Schizosaccharomyces pombe: one gene and its partner. The gene in region 1 interacts genetically with each later gene. Each region holds a gene or a part of one and is shown on either strand. Other genes may lie near its edges. The genes, in order: dhp1 and pdc2.

Region 1 (7,236 bases):
AACTGCCATACATGTCAAATAAACAAATCTAGGAATCATAAACCTTATGGACCTTTACAACCAATTCCCCCATCAGAAAGACCTTGGGAATCTTTATCAATGGATTTTATTACAGCTTTACCAGAATCATCTGGTTATAATGCACTTTTCGTGGTAGTTGACCGATTTTCAAAAATGGCAATCTTAGTACCTTGTACGAAATCCATTACAGCAGAGCAAACAGCTCGAATGTTTGATCAACGAGTTATTGCTTATTTCGGCAATCCAAAAGAAATCATTGCAGATAATGATCATATTTTTACTTCCCAAACGTGGAAAGATTTCGCACATAAATATAATTTCGTTATGAAATTTTCGTTACCATACAGACCACAAACTGATGGACAAACTGAGCGTACAAACCAAACTGTGGAGAAATTACTAAGATGTGTATGTAGCACACATCCAAATACATGGGTAGATCATATATCCCTAGTGCAACAATCTTACAACAATGCGATACATTCAGCAACTCAAATGACACCTTTTGAGATAGTACATCGCTATTCACCAGCTTTATCACCTTTAGAGTTACCTAGCTTTAGTGACAAAACTGACGAAAACTCTCAGGAAACGATCCAAGTATTTCAAACAGTTAAAGAACACTTGAATACAAACAACATAAAGATGAAAAAGTATTTCGATATGAAAATACAAGAAATTGAAGAATTTCAACCTGGAGACCTAGTTATGGTCAAAAGAACGAAAACAGGTTTTCTTCATAAATCCAATAAATTAGCACCTAGTTTTGCAGGACCGTTCTATGTGTTACAGAAGTCGGGTCCAAACAACTATGAATTGGATCTTCCAGATTCAATCAAGCACATGTTTTCATCTACTTTTCATGTTTCTCACCTAGAAAAGTATCGACATAATTCAGAACTCAATTACGCTACCATTGATGAGTCTGATATTGGAACAATTCTTCATATCCTAGAACATAAAAACAGAGAACAAGTACTCTACTTAAATGTCAAGTACATTTCGAATCTAAATCCGAGTACTATTATGTCAGGATGGACTACATTAGCTACAGCGCTACAAGCGGACAAAGCAATTGTCAATGATTATATTAAAAACAATAATCTAAATATCTGAGAACATATGACTTATCCTCAGATTTACATAGAAAATCTTGGGGAGGGCAATGTCAGCAATACTACACTACGCTATAATACACTACGTTGAGTATCACTATATGTCACATGTTCTAATTATATATCGTACCATGTATGATACGATATGGAGATTGATCTTAATGATAATCTATTAAGATCAATATTATCTGAATACTATAAATAGAGCTACTGCTGAACCTCGTTCCTCAGTTCAGTTATGAGCTATATTAGTGATAGGTAACATTATAACCCAGTTAATACAATACCTATACTCAGTTGCTACTTATACAACCTGTGTATTGTAATATAATAGATCACAAGGAAAACTCACCGCAGTTCTACGTATCCTTAAATCAGATACCAAACTGCGTAGCTTACACTTAAGAGACTAGATTTTAACTATTGTATAGCGAGTACGTTAGTAATTTCCAATTTACTCCAATGTGCGTTAAAAAATTTAGGTAGGACTGCGGAGACTACGCTAGATCTAGATTAAAATACCTAAATATTAAATCTTCAACTTATACTACACTCGTAGTCTTTAGTATCTAAAATTTACCAATTTGGGCTTTTTTGAAGCATTTGGTTTGGAGAAGATTTATTCGATTGAGTATTTTCTCCTTTACACCAAAAAATGGGTGTTCCAGCACTTTTCCGCCTTTTGTCGAGGAAATTCGCAAAGGTCATTACACCTGTTATTGAGGCTCCTACTGAAAAGCTTCCAGATGGTACTGAAATTGAACCAGATTTAAGTCTTCCCAATCCAAACGGAGTGGAATGCGACAACTTGTATTTGGATATGAATGGTATTGTTCATCCTTGTTCCCATCCTGAAGATCGCCCCGCTCCAGAGACTGAAGACGAGATGATGGTTGCTGTCTTTGAATACACGGATCGTATTCTTGCCATGGTTCGTCCTCGTCAGTTATTGTTCATTGCAATCGATGGCGTGGCTCCTAGAGCCAAAATGAATCAGCAGAGATCACGTCGTTTTCGTTCTTCTCGTGAAGCAGCTCTCAAAGAAGAAGAATTACAAGCCTTCATTGAGGAGGCAAAACAACAGGGAATTCCCATCGACGAAAACGCTACGAAGAAAAAATCTTGGGACAGTAATTGCATTACCCCCGGCACACCTTTCATGGACACTTTGGCCAAGTCTCTTCGTTACTACATAATAAATAAACTAAATAGTGATCCGTGCTGGAGAAATGTCAGATTTATACTTTCTGACGCCTCGGTTCCTGGTGAAGGTGAGCATAAGATCATGGAATTTATTCGATCTCAACGAGTGAAACCAGAGTATGATCCAAATACACACCACGTTGTTTACGGTTTAGATGCAGACCTAATTATGCTTGGTTTGGCTACTCATGAACCCCATTTTCGTGTATTGCGTGAAGATGTCTTCTTTCAACAAGGAAGTACTAAAAAGACAAAGGAAGAGCGTCTTGGCATCAAGAGACTTGATGATGTTTCTGAGACCAATAAGGTTCCTGTAAAAAAACCATTTATATGGCTCAACGTTAGCATTTTGAGGGAGTATCTAGAAGTGGAACTTTATGTCCCCAATTTACCTTTTCCATTTGACTTAGAACGTGCGATTGACGACTGGGTCTTCTTTATCTTTTTTGTGGGTAATGATTTTCTTCCTCATTTGCCTAGTTTAGATATTCGTGATGGTGCCGTAGAGCGGTTGACTGAAATATGGCGAGCTAGTCTTCCGCACATGGGTGGTTATCTTACTTTGGATGGTTCTGTTAATTTAGCTCGTGCTGAAGTCATTCTGAGTGCTGTAGGTAACCAGGAAGATGATATTTTTAAGCGTCTTAAACAGCAAGAAGATCGTCGTAACGAAAACTATAGACGCCGTCAACAACGCGAGTCAAATCAGGAATCAGAATCTTATGTTGACAACGTCGTAATTCAGCGTTCAGTTGAGACGCAATCGACAGAAGTTGTTACCTCTTCTAAATCAACTTCTGTTGATACTAAACCGCCAAAGAAAACTCAAAAAATTGACGCTCCGGCTCCAGTGGATTTGGTTAATTTGTCTGAAAAAACTTCAAATCGATCTCTAGGCGCTACTAATAGAGAATTAATTAATAATCGCGCTGCTAACCGTCTTGGACTTTCTAGGGAAGCAGCTGCTGTTTCTTCAGTTAACAAATTGGCGGCCTCTGCATTGAAAGCTCAGTTGGTTTCAAATGAGACACTACAAAATGTTCCTTTGGAAGACAGCATAGCTTCATCCAGTGCATATGAAGATACCGATAGTATTGAATCTAGTACCCCTGTTGTACATCCAATAGACACAAAAGTTTCAAATGTGGGTCAGAAGAGAAAGGCCCCAGATTCGACTGAAGAAAATGAAAATACTGATACAGTCCGCCTGTATGAGCCTGGATACCGCGAACGGTATTATGAACAAAAATTCCACATTTCACCCGATGAACCAGAAAAAATTCGTGAAGCTGTTAAACATTATGTTCATGGATTGTGCTGGGTTCTTTTGTATTATTATCAAGGCTGTCCATCTTGGACCTGGTATTATCCATATCATTATGCTCCTTTTGCCGCTGATTTCAAAGATTTGGCCTCCATAGATGTAAAATTTGAACTAAATCAACCCTTCAAGCCTTACGAACAATTACTAGGCGTTTTACCTGCTGCTAGTAAAAATAATTTACCTGAAAAATTGCAAACTCTTATGACTGATGAAAACTCTGAAATTATTGACTTTTACCCGGAAAATTTTACTATTGATTTAAACGGGAAAAAATTTGAATGGCAGGGAGTTGCTCTTTTACCATTTATAGATGAAAATCGGCTTTTGAATGCTGTATCAAAAATCTATCCTCAACTTACCGAGGAAGAGTCAAAAAGAAATGAGGATGGTTCTACTTTATTATTTATTTCTGAACATCATCCAATGTTTAGCGAACTTGTCAAACAACTTTACTCCAAGAAACGTCAAGGTAAACCACTTAAGTTATCCGGAAAGATGGCACATGGATTGTTTGGCAAAGTTAACACCAATGATTCCGTAATTCCCAATGTATCCGTTCAATGCCCAATTGATGTTACATCCGCTGACGCCCTTCAGAAGTATGGAAGCATAGATGATAATCAATCTATAAGTCTTGTGTTTGAAGTACCTAAATCGCATTTCGTACATAAATCCATGCTTTTAAGGGGAGTGAAAATGCCGAACAGGGTGTTAACCCCAGAAGATATCAACCAAGTACGTGCAGAGAGGAGCTTTTCTTCCCGCCGAAACAATGGTAATTCGTATCGTGGAGGACACCAAAGTTATGGTGTCCGACGCTCTTACCAATCGCAAAGTTACAGTAGTCGACAGAGCTACACTGGAGTTACTAATGGTTTTGCAAACGGTGGAGTTCAACCTCCTTGGTCTGGTAATGGCAATTTTCCTCGTTCTAATGCAAGCTATAACTCTCGCGGCGGCCACGAAGGATACGGCGGGCGCTCGAGAGGTGGTGGTTATTCGAATGGACCGCCAGCTGGTAACCACTATAGTAGTAATCGCGGAAAGGGTTACGGCTATCAGCGAGAATCCTATAACAATAATAACAGGAATGGCTACTATTAATACATTTAAGTTTTCTTAGTACAATTTTGAAAGCGGGTTTGGGATATTGGAGATAAATAATATATCTGATTATTTGAATTTCATTGGCACATTGCATAATTAGTTATGCAATTCAGTTACAAAATGCATGTTGATAACATAAAATTATACTCAACAACTATACCGATCTATTCCTCTTTCTTAAGAGCAGGTAATACTTCTGAATAAACATCAAAGCGGCGTTGAGTATAGATAGGAACGCTGTTTCGAGCGGTAGACATGACAGAGGGATCAATATCTGCGTAAACGATAGACGGTTTTTCATCAGTAGTAGCAATAACTTTTCCGAAAGGGTCTACAACAGTAGAATGTCCCCATGAATGATAGTCAGCGTTCATATCTCTAGCAGGGGCACAGCAAGCAACGAACATCTCATTATCAACTGCTCGGGCTCGTGCAAGTAGTTCCCAATGTAAAGGGCCTGTGGACAAATTAAATGCTCCAGGGTAAATCATCACACTACAGCCATTTCTAGCTGCTATCATAGCGAGTTCCGGAAATCGTATATCGTAACAAATACCCAAACCAAACTTCCCGTATTCAGTGTCAACCATAGTCATGGCGTCGCCAGGTGAAAGACTATCAGATTCGCGGAAGCTAACTCCACCAGGAATGTCAATATCGAATAAATGAATTTTCCGATGAACGGCTATCAATTTTCCAGAAGGATCAAACACCATTGCAGTGTTGTATAATTTGCCATCCTTGCGTTCAGGAATAGAACCGCCAAATAAGTAAGTCTTAGTATCCTACAGTACCGTTAGTCTCACATAATCAACGAAAATTAAATTAACAAACCTTTGCCATAGAGGATAAAGCTTGGTAAGAAGGAGATGATTCCTCTATAGGTTCAGCATACTGATTAAAGTAACCAGTACCATATGGTGAATTGAAAATTTCTGGTAATACAATGACATTAGAACCGTTTTTAGCGGCTTCCAATACTTTTAAACGAGCGAGTTGTAAATTTTCGCTCTTGTCTTTGGTATTGGCAAGCTGAACCAAGCCAATACGAAAAGCACGAAAATCTTTAGGAACCAGAGATGAAGCTGAGACAGACATGATGTTCCTTGTATAGCAAAAATTTAATGAAGGAAAAAAGGATCTTGTGCCTTTTTGAACGAGTCCAAAAAATTTACTGTTCATATAAACAATCACCGACTTGAAATTTTAGGTGAAGGAAGAGGAATGAGTAGAAAGCAAAGATACGAGGGAAGATGTCCTGATTTGTAGGCTAGTCTCAGAATATCTAGCTTGCGATAATTTTGAGCTCCAAAATATTATATTCCTGAAATCTCAATGTAACTTATTAAGCACGTGGCTAGCGAAATCCTCCAATCCAAATTACACCTTGTTATCAAAAAGAAATTTAGCAAGGTGATCAAACTTCCATGTCTTTGATAAGAAGAATGTCGACATCAAACTAGTTTTCAATCTATTGTAAATCTAAAGAAGAAAAAGGGATTTACATTCAAGCAGCAACTACACAAATAGAAATCGTTGTTTGAATGTTACGGAAGGCAAGACCAAAAAAATTGTTTTTGTTTATCTACAAGTTACAAAAGAATGATATTTATTACTGTGTCAACTAGTTTATAGGTAATGATAATATCGTCTGTCATTTTTAGAAAAAGGGGATTCAATTACTATAGATATTCAGTTGTTCCGAATGTGTTGAAAAATAAAATCTTAAGCGTCTTCGTTTCGCAAAAGAAGAAAATAAATGTTATAATAGCTCGAATGAACTGTTTGGCATACATGTTAATTTCACGTATATTGAATATTGATCTTGTTCAATAACAAATGAACTTATGGCATGCATAAGATCCATCAATCGAGAAGAGCCTAAAAATCGCATTTGAATGCGTATTTAAAGAAAGAATAGCTGTATCCTTAGTCAAAAAATTTTGTATTGAAAGAAAAAAGATTAAGAGTATAATGAAAATAAAGAGGAAAAGAAAGTTCGAAAACCAAAAGATGACCAAGAAAATAATGAGTAAATTACGTTGTTTAGCAAACAACCAAAATAAATTGCAATAATAAATTATAGAATTAACACATGATCCGAATAAGAGTAAAGCTGTGGAGATTAATAAGCTCTCCATTCAAATTCGTTGCGCTTCAAATCATGGAATTCACGGAAATCCGAAATGAAATGACACCTGAATAGATATTGAAATAGATGGTAAAAAGAAAGAATGAATTCGATTGGAAAAATGAACATAAAAGATGATTTGATGCAAAAAGTAAAAATGCTTCTCCCTACTCTTTCAAATACTTTGTAAATTGTTTTTGCGAAAGATATGATTGCATATCTGGACTTACATGCTCCGACAACTGTTCGGAGTCAGGAAGCAATAACCCATTCATGAATAAAAGTTCCAAGAGATGTAACTTACTAGTATCACGAGTAACCGCTTTTAAAAACAC
Region 2 (5,458 bases), on another chromosome or scaffold:
AATGGTTAAATGACGAGGTAATTAATTTTTACATGAATTTGATTTCGGAACGCTCTAAAATTGATTCATCCTTACCTCGGGTACATGGGTTTAATACTTTTTTTTATACATCTTTGCAGCGCCGTGGATACGCGGGTGTTCGAAGATGGGCCAAAAAGGCACGCGTTAATATTGCAGATATGGATGCTGTATTTATACCAGTACATCTGGATGTCCACTGGTGTATGGCTGTTATTAACAAATCGAAGAAACGATTTGAATACTGGGACTCGCTGGCCGGAAGCCCTGGTAAAGTTTTTGATTTGTTGCGCGACTATTATATTGCAGAAACAAAAGGTGCCGTCGACGTGTCAGATTGGGAAAATTTTATGGATGACAATTCTCCAAGACAACGAAATGGACATGATTGTGGAGTTTTTGCTTGTAAAACTGCTGAATGTGTATCTAGAAATGTTCCTGTTCAGTTTAGTCAAAATGATATGCCTGAACTACGAATCAAAATGGCAGCTAGTATTATTGATGCACAAATCTATTAAATATGTGCTATAAACTTTTTGTCTATATACTTATCGTTTTTTATATTAATTTCTTTCTCGTTCAATACATTTTATTTCATATTCAGCGTTTTCAAAAAGGACATAATTTACTTAAATCTATATTAGAGCGTATGCATTTTTTAAGTAGCAGGGAATACTCTAATTAATAAATCTGAATCCAGGAATCTCAGCAAATATAGCTTTTGAAAAAAAAAATACCCGCATATCTTATAAACAAACTTAAGCGCTGAGCTGACGAGCGTCGAGCCCCATTGCATTTAAAAACAAATTAACATTGCTGATGCGCACAACAGCAATTTCAGAAGGTGCCCGTTTGCTAGTAATGATGTTATCAAGTACTCTGTCCCTATTTTTTACATATTTGTTAGTACAAAAACTCGACTAGACATATTTTAACGTACCTAGTTTCAGAAACCAATGTAAAATGTTGTTCAGAGCTAGCAGCAGTAGCACAAGCTGCTAAGAATTCCCATGGATAAGATTCATCAGCATAAGCTCGAGCGTTAGGTGGTGGGAATACCGTCGAGAAATGACCTTTTACGCGATTAAACATAACATTGAATGTATTTTCCCTAAATAGTTAGATGCTGTAAATACATGTATAACGTACCATTCTTCTTTTTCATTTTGATTTACAGTGCCAGATTGCTTTAAAATTTCTGCGCGACTAATGAATAGAGTAAGGAACGACAAACCAATCTTCGTCTGTATTAAATAAACAGCATTAGTGCGATTGAGAAGTTGAGAAAATAAGTTATTTATAGTTTCCAAATCAAGTTCATTAACAATAGTGAGCAATGGAGGGATGATGAACTGCGTGAAAGAACTCATTTCGGAAACAACGTCCAAAGGCAGCTCACCGTTAACGTCAAATGTTCCCCTAAGGACTATATCAAGAGAATCAAAATTGTAAACTACGACCTTTAAAATCGAAATTTGTTGCTCTTTGGACAAATGTGGGAACAAGCGAGGTAGCAGCCTCATTCCTTTGGGGTGAGAAATTATAGAAATGAATGGAGGCCTAGTCTTAGAAGATGCTTCCAATGATTCATTTATGTATAATGCCTTCCAAATGGACTCCAATTTCTCGCTTAAAGTAGTTTTCCATGTATCTATTTGCTCCTGATCGGTAGTTTCTAGCGTTGAGGCTTTACGGAGGGCTTGCTCAAAGTCAAGCAACAAGTCATAAACTTTCTCAATAGCGTGCAATACATCCTTCTTCGTAGAAAATCCAGAAAAATTGTTTAATGATGAATTTGAAGATGCTGGTTCGGTAGGACGTTTAACATTCAACAATTGTCGTGGTGTGCGAACAGTATTAACAGCAATTTTACCAAGAGCACCTTCTAAAGACAACTGAGTTGCCTTAGGGCGCTCTTTGGCAGAAGAAACCAAACGCTGAAGTTGCTGTTGTAATTTCTGCATAGGATTTTCGGAGCGACGACCACGACGGCGATTATTGCTAGGTCCTAGATAAGTCTGTATAAAATGACTGGCTTCTTCCTCGGAAGGCTTGCGGCCTCGAATAATTGAGTAAACGCGATAATAAAAATCATCAGATTCGGGATCCTCCGACATCAATTGCGATATTTGAATTCTCGCAATAAACGATTTATCACTGCGTGTCATTAACCCAGCACATTGAGCCATGAGCATATGATCACGCTCTAACTTTTGACGTTTTTCATCAAGGTTCTGGTTTTGAATTAATTGTTCCTGCTGGAAAAGATTAACAAGGGAAGCAGGAGGAGCAACACTTGGGTTGTACATGCCGTTTTGAGGATATGGCATTTGAGGTACAAGGGAAGGTTGCATAACAGGATTGGGTATAGCTTGCGAAGGATGTACCATATTAGGAGCAGCTAATCCAGCAAAATCAGTTGTAGTGCTAGGGATGTTTGGTTGACCAAAAGTAACATTACCAATACTAGCCGCACTAATCGCCGGGTCCAATGAAGAGATGTTTTCTCGAGTTACTTGAGCAGCCATTTCGGATGGAACAATGGGAATAGCGGGTTGAGAAGGTGGTTTTGGAGCGGTCATTGAGTTCAATAACTGTTCCTCCAACTCCTGCAAGCTAAAAACCTTCTCAGATGGTTGGGCACCCAAACGATCTTGAAGAGAGGCTACCTCAGGTGGAATAATAGCCGGCTTTTCTGGAACAATATTTTCCCAAATCGAAGCCATAGGCTGCAAATCGGAAAGCTTATTGATCGCAGTAGACGCAGGTTCCCGTGAAGGAAATTGTGAAGCACCATTAAGTCTACTAACTTGAGGTAACTCTGAAGAAGCTGGTTTGACAGGTTTAGCGAAAATATTTTGTTGATTAATTTGGTACTGCTCATCTTCCAATTGTGCAGATGCTTGAGCGGTAGTACCTGAAAAATCAAAATCACGTCCTAGAATTGTGAGAAAAAATATTAAAATATTAAATACTAATAGCTTGCAATATCCCAGATATGACAGCCGAGAATGATTACAGAATCACAAGCACAAAGGTACATACCTATACTTCCAGCGCTAACACCAAAAGTCTCGTCGTTTAGTTCATCTCCGGCTTCATTTAATTGATTACCCAAATCGTCGTAGGTCTCCTCAAAGTCAATGCTAAATATACTTGTGAGCTTAAAGTATCATATTTACATTAATATTAACGACTTACCCATCCTCTTCTAACTGCCCTTCGTTAGGAAACATATTTTCCTTTGGAAGGGTAGTATTAAACCCAAAAAATGACATTTTATGGGTTTATGGTAATGAGAAGTTGGTGGTAGCTAGGTGGGCGGCACTGCATACAACAATACTCATGACAGTAGATTGGGTTGGTTCGACGCAGACTGATTCATGGCGTTTTATATATATTTTTACTTTGCGTTCTTTTTTTATATCTGAATTTTAAAGTTGTTATTTGGTTTGCTATACCAGTAAATCTATCCCTATTTTATTTCACATCAATCTTCAAGACTAGCTATTAAAACCTATCACGTATAGATGTATATCATAAATATGAATTTAAATTTATCTCTTTTTGAAAGACTGAAATGTATCGAAATTTATGCATGAACATACATAAGTTGCTTGCTCAAGCAAGCTACATCAATCTGGCAATGCAGTATAGAAAAAAAGAAATATCTACTAAATTTAACTACTTTACATCATAAATTCAGTGACACTCAAATTGGTAAAAATTAATTTTAAATTATCGTAACATGTAGAGATAAAGGAAATTATTTGGAAGACGATGAATCATTCCAGATCAATTGATCAAATGCCTCCTGTTCGTGAGAAATAGGTTCATCCAACTGTTCAGAGCCTAGATTAGAAGTTCGGGAAGGAAATGCTTCAGAATTTTCTTGTCCACTAAAAGCACTATCTGTGGATTTAACACTCGAGTCTTCTTCGTAAAATGGAAAAGAATTGTTACCGGTATTTCGATTACGGTTACGAATAGCTTCCCATGCTGACGCTGGCTTTGATCGATCTTCAAAGCCATTGTCTTTAGAGTACATGGCGTCCTCTTTCTCCGTACTCTGTGAATTCGTAAAGGGATCTTGACTAGAAGAGGCACCAGTATTCGGCATACTTCCAGGTAATTGATATTTTGAGTTTTTTGGAGGGAATTCAGAAGATGAAGAAGGAAATCTGCCTTGTCGCATCGTTGTTCTTTGTCGAATAAGGGAGTCTTGTATTTTGCGAAGTATTTCAAAGCCATCATCTCTTTGACGTATAGCCGACAAATTGTATGCCAGAGTAGTAATCTGAGCAACCTATTCATAATTTGTAAGCTTGAGCTTAGTATTACTTAAAACTTACCCCATTTCCAGCAAGACCTCCTATAATTGATGTTGCATACAAGCGGATTGGAGTAACCTTTTTGTTACGAGCTAAAAAATAAGAAAGTTATTTTCAATTGCTTGTTCGAAATCTCATACCTAAGTATAATGGGAGAGAAAACCCGACTAGCATCCCAAAAATCGTATTTCTTTTGACACGGTATTTTGCATGATTTAGAAATTCCTTTTGGTCATCACTGAAATGGTTTTGAGGATCATTTAACATTCGTTCCCAAAAAAAATCCATGATAATAAACGTTGGAAGCGATTCCTGAGGCTACACAATAATGTCAAGAATATGAAACGTGCTTATACGGGTTATGTTAGCGAAATAAATGTAATTAAATTATTTGCGGACTGTACAATTTAACCCAATATATAAAAATTTGAGGCCTTTCTAATGTAAAAATACTACTACTAAAAGGTAATAGTACTCATCACTTGTTGCCTTATGGATAGTTTGGATACTGATGTAAGAGGATGTGAATAAGGAGAATCTCTAGGGATTAGGACCATCTAAATTTCCCAGCTACTACAGTGATACTTGGCATGAATAAGAAATACGTATCTGAATAAAAATTTGACACACAAGATTGTTCTGTTGAAATTTCTTATGAAACTGATAGACTGAATTTTTTTTGGCTGGTAAGCACTTGTGATGAAATATGCAACTTTTTCGAACTACGTTTTACATTCCATCTTTCAATGAAACAGACCTTGGTGGCATCAATTCGTGGTATACGATTGTTTTGAATTTTAATATTGCAAGCATATATGTTCAACAGGAATTTCCCAGTTGTTAAATAAGTCTATATCGTATAATTCTTTGTCATTAACCGTATTTATTCATTTTGAACTAATTTAGCACAGAATTCTATCTCGTAAATTAAACAAGCGCCACTGCATTTTACACAGCTAACGAAAAATACAAGAAGGCAATTGAGAAATAGAGAAATAGATGCAATACAGACTTGGTCTTTTTTTTTAAAAAGTTTTGCCAATTTAGACGGATTTTGTATCTAATATGTAGGAACTACTAGTAGTAGTTACAGCTTATTCATTAGTTAA

The links.
Region 2: mutations in dhp1 (region 1) and pdc2 are lethal when combined (synthetic lethality), as found in Schizosaccharomyces pombe (one study listed by BioGRID).

Annotation. Positions count from the first base shown.
Region 1 is NC_003424.3:3,355,448-3,362,683, reverse strand, and holds dhp1 (5'-3' exoribonuclease Dhp1), read left to right. Parts: upstream 1-1,680; 5' UTR 1,681-1,791; coding exon 1,792-4,767; 3' UTR 4,768-4,934; coding exon of another isoform or gene 4,935-5,555; 3' UTR 5,556-5,604; coding exon of another isoform or gene 5,605-5,952; 3' UTR 5,953-6,540; downstream 6,541-7,236. Other genes in the region: Tf2-4 (retrotransposable element/transposon Tf2-type), read left to right, coding at 1-1,137; SPOM_SPAC26A3.11 (mitochondrial omega-amidase), read right to left, coding at 4,935-5,555, 5,605-5,952; cnt6 (centaurin ADOP ribosylation factor GTPase-activating protein), read right to left, coding at 7,069-7,236. UniProt on the Schizosaccharomyces pombe protein: Possesses 5'->3' exoribonuclease activity. Required for the processing of nuclear mRNA and rRNA precursors. May promote the termination of transcription by RNA polymerase II. Essential for vegetative cell growth and chromosome segregation.
Region 2 is NC_003423.3:2,368,288-2,373,745, forward strand, and holds pdc2 (topoisomerase II-associated deadenylation-dependent mRNA-decapping factor), read right to left. Parts: upstream 3,327-5,458; 5' UTR 3,297-3,326; coding exon 3,220-3,296; exon of another isoform or gene 3,165-3,219; coding exon 3,064-3,164; exon of another isoform or gene 2,957-3,063; coding exon 1,168-2,956; intron 1,130-1,167; coding exon 959-1,129; intron 907-958; exon of another isoform or gene 904-906; coding exon 777-903; 3' UTR 548-776; downstream 1-547. Other genes in the region: SUMO deconjugating enzyme Ulp1, read left to right, coding at 1-536; SPOM_SPBC19G7.18C (uncharacterized protein), read right to left, coding at 3,785-4,324, 4,371-4,441, 4,490-4,637. UniProt on the Schizosaccharomyces pombe protein: Activator of decapping that functions as a general and active mechanism of translational repression and required for P-body formation. Stabilizes the 3' terminus of mRNAs and modulates the rates of mRNA-decapping that occur following deadenylation.